Linked DNA regions of Macaca fascicularis. The protein of the gene in region 1 purifies or fractionates together with the protein of each later gene. This does not show direct contact. Links are inferred from orthologs where the notes say so. Each region holds a gene or a part of one and is shown on either strand. Other genes may lie near its edges.

Region 1 (3,813 bases):
TCCCATGCATGTACTAGGGAGGCTCTGGGCCAGCCACTTCTCTCTGTGAGCCTCGGTTTCCTCACCTACACGATGGGTGTGGTCATTGTGAAATTAGCGACATAGGCCTCGCTGGTGCCTGGCAGGGAGCAGACGCTGGCATCCCGGTTCTTCACGGTCACGGGGCCGCGCAACCCTGATACGGGAAGAGGCTTCTCCCGAGGCTCTTAGGGCAGGACTGGGCCACCCACACGTGCGTCCCTGTCGTTTTGAGCCGGGACAGCCTCTTCGTCTCCAGCAGGATCCTGGCCTGGTACAGCTGGAAGGAATCAGAGTTGACAGATGAGGACCCCGCCAGCGGCCCCGGCTGCTGCAGCCTTGGTGTTGAAATGGGCGGCTAGGCTCCTGGCCTCACCCTGGGGCAGCCGGGAGCTGGAAACCCCAGCACTTCCTGGCACGGAGGCCGCAGTGTAGACACTCCAGTGGGACTGCCTCTGGCTTTGACCCTCAGGGTCTTTCGAGTGGAGTTTGGATGACTTATTGGTTTCTTCGGGTGCCTGCCAGCTTTGCTTACCACCCTTGACACTTGAGCTTTTTCTCCATTCCTCCTGGAAGTTTCTCTTTCCCACCACATCTCATTCATCCCAGGCCAGCTTCAGGGCTGAGGGTGGGTGGCCCCGAAACCCTGCCAGCCCATCCCTCGAGGACACCTGGCTTCTGCAGCCTGTTGAGCCCTCTTTCCCTTTCATGGTCCTACCCCTCATGGAGGGGAGGCCACTGCCAGGCTACCCCACATCAAACACTAGGGTCAGCTGGGCTCTGTTGTTTGGTTTGATTTTGCTGGAGAGGTACTGTCGGGGGATGAGGGCCAGGTCCTGCCAAGCCTCATTCGTCACTTTGGCCCAGGTCCCGCAACAGCCCCTGTGGCTGCTGCCTTCCCCTCGGACCAGTCCCCCAGGGACTCAGGGCGATGTCTGGAGATGTATTTGGTTGTCATGAACTGTGGGTGTTTAGCACCCCACAGTGCCCGGGACGGCCCCAGCGTCCACAGGGCCGAGGGGACGAAACCCTGCTGGAATGATGGGTAGACGTTTCGGAGGCCCCCACAGGCCCGGCCCTGTGTTGCTGTCCGGAGGAGAGTGTGGCAGCAGGGACCGCCCCTGGCTTCAGAGCCAGGTCTGGGTTTGAATCTTGGCACTGCCACCTCTGAGCCTACAGTTCTTTTGTGACAGAGCTCACACACCAGCCTAGCAGGGGTGTTTTAAGGATCAGAGTTAAATATATAATCACATGACCGACTTGGTTCCCGGCAGGTGATTAGTGCTAAGTAAACTGTGGCTACCGTTGGCGAGACCGAAGGGAAAACATGTCTGTGGCTGACAAGGGTTGAGCGCCCGCCCAGCCAGTGCTTTATGTCATTATCCTCCCGACGAAGAGACTGAGGGTCAGAGAGGCACTTGGTGTTTGTCGGCAAGGCACTGGCAGAGGCCGTTTACAAGTAAAGCACGATTCCCAGTTCCTGCCCTGGGGATGCTTTCAGGCTGAAGACAGGGAAAGAGAACCTAAAATAGAAGGGGGGCCTAGTCAGAGGCGCTTTTGCTGCGTTGGCGATGCTGGGGAAAGTTTGATGAGGAGGAGGGAGGGGGCAGGGCTTTGCTGGGAGGGGGCACCGTAGGGGCAGGGCACTCCACCAGCCCCAGCCAAGGCTGGCGCTTCCTGGCGAGTGGGTGTCTCTCACGGCCCCCGCCTCAGGGCCTGGCCTCTGCGGAGTCCCCTGCCTCGCAGCTCTGCCTTCTGAGTTGTGTGTGCTTGCTCCTCCTCAGAACATGGTGATGAGTTTTCGAGTCTCCGACCTTCAGATGCTCCTGGGTTTCGTGGGCCGGAGTAAGAGCGGACTGAAGCACGAGCTCGTCACCAGGGCCCTCCAGCTGGTGCAGTTTGACTGTAGCCCCGAGTTGTTCAAAAAGATCAAGGAGCTGTACGAGACCCGCTACGCCAAGAAGAACTCGGAGCCTGCCCAGCAGCCGCACCGGCCCCTGGACCCCCTGACCATGCACTCCACCTACGACCGGGCCGGCGCTGTGCCCAGGACTCCGCTGGCAGGCCCCAATATTGACTACCCCGTGCTCTACGGGAAGTACTTAAACGGACTGGGACGGTTACCCGCCAAGACCCTTAAGCCAGAAGTCCGCCTGGTGAAGCTGCCCTTCTTTAACATGCTGGACGAGCTGCTGAAGCCCACCGAGTTAGGTGAGTGGCCGCCCCGGGGAGGCTGCGACGGGAGGCCTCACCTAGGCCCTGTCGCCCAGCCCAGCCACGCAGCCCACCTTTGGTGATGTTCTCTGGCGCGGCCAGGGTGGGAGCCACGGTGGCCAGGGCTGTCCTTCCCTGGAAGCAAAGGGACCATCTTTGATATTGGTCACCCCTTGCTGTGGTACAAGTTACCCTGAAATGGAGCAGTGGGCGTCTGTTAGCTCTCAGGAACCAGCGAGCCGCGTTGCGGGGCGTTGGGGCTCGGGGGCTCTCATGAGGCTCAGTCAGGCCGGAGCCACCTCATCCGGAGGCTCGACCAGGGCTGGAGCAGCCACTTCCTCGTGTGGTGGCTGGCAGGCTGCAGCTCCTCACCGGCTTTTGGCCGTCGTCCCCAGGTCCTCACTGTGCGGCCTCCTGCACGGGCTGCCCGGGCTTCCTCAGCCTGGTGGCTCCCTCACCCTAGGGTAGCGAGCGTGCACGTCCAGCTGGGAGCTGGAGCCCTTTTTATGACCCAGCCTCGGACACGCCTTGCCGTCTCCCCCATGGAGTCCATTGCTCACAGACTCTGTGGCACAGGCAGGGACCACACCAGGCTGTGACTGCCAGGGCCAAGGGTGACCAGGGTCACCTGGGAACCTGGTTTCCCTGCTTATTCCCCATGGAAAGGGGGCTGGCCAGTGGCATCGGCCTTCCCTCCTTCCCCCAGGCTCTGGTTCCTCGCTGGCAGCCTGCAGGTATGGCCTTGGTCAGCGGGCTCAGGTCACTGCCAGGCTGTGCGCACCAGGCGTGCTGGGGGCTCAGGGCGATCCCAGGCAGAGGAGAGGTGCTGGGCTCCACGCTTCTCTCTCTCATGTCTTTGTCTGCAAGCACTGACTGAGCAGGAGTGTGTCAGGACCTCGCAGCCCGCAGCAGTGTGGACAGGCCCCTGGCGCCTCCCAGCAGCCGTGACCATTCAGGCTGCAGGTGGGTATCAAGCCCGGTCTCTGCCTCAACCATAGCCCTGAGCTCAGGGCCAGGGAGGCCAGAGCAGCCCCAGCCCCCAGGGCAGGGAGAGTGTGCAGCCTCTGGGACTCCCAGTTAGGGAGCGGAACATCCTGGGCCTTTTGCGGACCTGTGCCCCAAGGCGCTCAGATTTTACCAGGTCCTCTGTGTGCCTGGAGGTCTCTTCTTCCTGCCTCCCTTCCCCTGCCCCCACTCTTTCCTTCACAGTAAACGTCGCGCAGTAGACGTCGGAGTGCAGTAAACGTGGGAGTGCCTGCTGGGTGGGTGCGTGATGGGCACCAGGCATGGACCCGCAGCAGGGAACGGGACCAAGGCCGCGAGGTTCAGGAAGCCTCTGCACGCCCCCTCCCACCCTGCTGACCCAGCGACCTGCCTGGTCCCTGCTGTGGCCTGAGGGCTCCTCTCTGGCACGCTTCAGTCCACTGGGTGCCAGCTGGCCCCACTCCCCTGCCCCGGGAGGCAGGGTCAATGGGGGTGTGGGGAAGGGGAACTGGCCGCCATTCCTCTCCCACCTACAGCCCTGGGACTTTGTGAGGTTAGGTTGGAGGGGCTGGGCTTCCAAGTGAGGTTGGAGGAGGT
Region 2 (3,813 bases), on another chromosome or scaffold:
TCTCTGCTTCTTCAGTACTTATTGTCTTTTTGATTTATCCATCTCAGTAGGTATGAAGTGGTAGCTCATTGTGGTTTTGATTTTCATTTCCATGATGTCTAATGTTGAGCATCTTTCATGTGCTTACTGGCTACCATCTTTGGAGAAGTATCTTTTAGAATCCATTTGTTCATTTCTAAAAAAATTTTTTTTTTATCAGTCTCTTTTAACAAAGGTGAGTGTTAACTGCTAGGTAGCATTTAATATCAGGGGATGGTAAATTTTTCATAAATATTAGTAATAGACTTTTAGGTTTAACTAGTGCTGTTCCTCATAAGTAATCCTTTAAAAAAGTGCTGGTGAGATTTCCTTTAGGGTGACTAGTAAAGTCAGTAAGACTTGATTGAGTGTGCCACTATCATAATGAGAAGACCTAACTTTAATAGTTTTGGAATGTCAAAAACAGTGACAATAAAGTAATTTTATTTTTTAAAATTATTTTTAATGGTTAATATTTTATAAGAATTTTAAGTAATTTTCAACTCTGAGCATCAAATTTTAATTATGTGCATTGAATCTCTTACTTAACCAGAGCAATTTCATTTTTTCCCTCTACTTCGTGAAATGTGTTCTCATGTGTGTCTTTTTTTTTTTTTCTTTTTTAGGTTATCCTGAATACATGACTAACAATTTTCCTTGCAACCTTAGCTGTTGTTTTTCACTGTTTCCAAAAGATCAAAATTGCTCCAGAAATTGGAGACATATTTGATTTAAAAGGAAAAACTTGAACAAATGGACAATATGTCTATTACGAATACACCAACAAGTAATGATGCCTGTCTGAGCATTGTGCATAGTTTGATGTGCCATAGACAAGGTGGAGAGAGTGAAACATTTGCAAAAAGAGCAATTGAAAGTTTGGTAAAGAAGCTGAAGGAGAAAAAAGATGAATTGGATTCTTTAATAACAGCTATAACTACAAATGGAGCTCATCCTAGTAAATGTGTTACCATACAGAGAACATTGGATGGGAGGCTTCAGGTTAGTCTTACAAGAGTTTTTCTATACCCTCTGTGTTGGCAGATTTAAAAACTTGCTAAGTTTCCTTTCAAGCTCTACTACAGGGTAATTTAATGCATGCTCCATCTCTTCAGATACTGTGCATCCTGTACAAATACGCGTTATGGGAATTTGTGGAAGAATATGCAAAAGATAAAAATTTTTTTTTTTTTTTTTTGAGACGGAGTCTCGCTGTGTCGCCCAGGCTGGAGTGCAGTGGCCGGATCTCAGCTCACTGCAAGCTCTGCCTCCCGGGTTTTTACGCCATTCTCCTGCCTCAGCCTCCCGAGTAGCCGGGACTACAGGCGCCCGCCACCTCGCCCGGCTAGTTTTTTGTATTTTTTTTAGTAGAGACGGGGTTTCACCGTGTTAGCCAGGATGGTCTCGAACTCCTGACCTCGTGATCCGCCCGTCTCGGCCTCCCAAAGTGCTGGGATTACAGGCTTGAGCCACCGCGCCCGGCCGCAAAAGACAAAATTTTAAAGTTTTTTAATGTTCTATCAGAAAAAAGTTCAATGGAGAAAATTTGGAAAATAAAAATAAAAAGCAGAAGAAAACCCACACTTTGCAAGAACTACCTTTAGCACTTTGGTTTTCATTTTTGTAGCCTGTTGTTTTCTTTTTTTTTCCCCTAGACGGAGTCTTGCTCTGTCACCCAGGCTGGAGTACAGTGGTGCGATCTTGGCCCACTGCAACCTCCACCTCCCAGATTCAAGCAATCCTCCTGCCTCAGCCTCCTAAGTAGCTGGGACTACAGGCGAGTGCAACCACGCCCGGCTAATTTTTGTATTTTTAGTAGAGACGGGTTTCACCATGGTGGTCAGGCTGGTCTCAAACCGCTGACCTCAGGTGATCCACCCGCCTTGGCCCCCCAAAATTCTGGGATTACAGGCGTGAGCCACCGTGCCCAGCCATGTTGCTTTCTTTTTTGATATCGTATATACATTTAAACAATTGGATTACACTTAGTCTTTTTATAATTTAGAAATCTGATATGTTTCACTGTTACCAAATGTTTCATTGATCACATTTTTCAGGTAGAACTTCATAATCTCCCTTGCTGAAATAAATCTTACAGACATTTTATGTCTTAGATTTTAAAGTTTTATTTCAAGACTTTATACATGGTTTCTACAACACAGTCTTTTTAAATATTTATTTATTTCATTTTTTTTTCTTTGAGACATGGTCTCACTCTTGCCCAGGCTGGAGTGCAGTGGTGCAAACATGGCTCACTGCAGCCTTTACCTACTGGGCTTATGCAATCCTTCTGCCTTAGCCTCCTGAGTAGCTAGGACTACAGGCACATATGACTATACCTGGGTAATTTTTTATTATTTGTGGAGACAAGGGCCTTGTCATGTTGTCCAGGCTGGTAATGAACTCCTGGGCTCAAGCGATCCTCCTGCCTTGGCCTGCCAAAGTGATATGCTTACAGGTGTGAGCCACCATGCCCAGCCACTTTTTGCATTTTTAAAACCTGAACACAGGCCTTGAAATTATACCAAGGTTTAAATTACAGGTCTGATGCATGACATGGCCAAGTTAGTTATTTTGAATTTTAGTTTTCTCATTTATGAAGTGGGGATTGTAATACTGACTTGGTAGGATTGTGAGGATTAAATCAGAATATATATAAAAGTGTCTTGCATAATGTGACAGATGAATAAATGGTCGTTTATTTTTCTAGGTGGCTGGCCGGAAAGGATTTCCTCATGTGATCTATGCCCGTCTCTGGAGGTGGCCTGATCTTCACAAAAATGAACTAAAACATGTTAAATATTGTCAGTATGCATTTGACTTAAAATGTGATAGTGTCTGTGTGAATCCATATCACTATGAACGAGTTGTATCACCTGGAATTGGTAAGTAGACTTTGCTTTTATCCTAAGAAACATAAAGGGAAAAGGATCTCAATAGTGTTTTAATTTTTGTAAGTTAAATTATAAATTTGGAAGATAGCCCACGACTTTAAATAAGGTTAAAGAATCAGACATTTTTAATATACGTGTTTTAATTTGAACTTAGGAACAAACTTATATTTTGACTGCTAAAACCAAGTATTATAGTTCATATTTTGCCCATTTAGAACATTGTTTTTGAGAAATAAGATGGAAAGCATTATAAATTTGAATACTTAGTATGTGTATTGTTAGATAGTGTTTATGCTACTTCTGAATTGAAATAGTTCATGAACTTTTGTAATCTCTGGTTTAACTTGACATTCTCTGTTAAATGGAAAATATTTTCATTGTAATGATTAATGTTTCATTTGTTTTCCCTTTTATACAATTAAGATCTCTCAGGATTAACACTGCAGAGTAATGGTAGGTAATCTGTTTCTTATTACTTTCTTTTGTCCTATCCTCTCTGTTTTTTCGTTGACCTAGAATTAGTTTGTGTGGGCGGCAGTAACATTAACAAGAAAATAACTTACTGATTTGGAAATTTAGATTTTGGGGTTATGGGGCACGTCAGCATTTAAAACTGGATTTAAATTGGCTATTTGCTCTTTGTATATGAACTACAATTTATGAACTAAAGTACTGTAAAAAACATGATAGAGGAATGTACCAAAAACAAATACAAAGAATATTTTTTGCGTTAAGACCCATTTTTGAAGAAAATCTCACAGAACCAGTTTTAATGGGTGTTAAGTACCCAGAACGTTTGGTAATATGGAATCACGTATAACATATCCTTTAAAAATGCCAGTATTCTAATTTTCCTTCATTTCAGCCTAACATTTTTATGAATGATAATGTTGAGAATGGT

What was found.
Region 2: the proteins of PIAS4 (region 1) and SMAD4 purify together in Homo sapiens (affinity purification with western blotting, with the first as the bait; 3 studies listed by BioGRID). This does not show direct contact. The link is inferred for Macaca fascicularis from reciprocal best matches to the Homo sapiens genes PIAS4 and SMAD4.

What each region holds. Positions count from the first base shown.
Region 1 is NC_088393.1:4,740,478-4,744,290, forward strand, and holds part of PIAS4 (E3 SUMO-protein ligase PIAS4), read left to right. Parts: intron 1-1,802; coding exon 1,803-2,229; intron 2,230-3,099; coding exon 3,100-3,195; intron 3,196-3,813.
Region 2 is NC_088392.1:38,677,436-38,681,248, reverse strand, and holds part of SMAD4 (mothers against decapentaplegic homolog 4), read left to right. Parts: intron 1-644; 5' UTR 645-771; coding exon 772-1,020; intron 1,021-2,728; coding exon 2,729-2,903; intron 2,904-3,335; coding exon 3,336-3,365; intron 3,366-3,813. UniProt on the Homo sapiens protein: In muscle physiology, plays a central role in the balance between atrophy and hypertrophy. When recruited by MSTN, promotes atrophy response via phosphorylated SMAD2/4.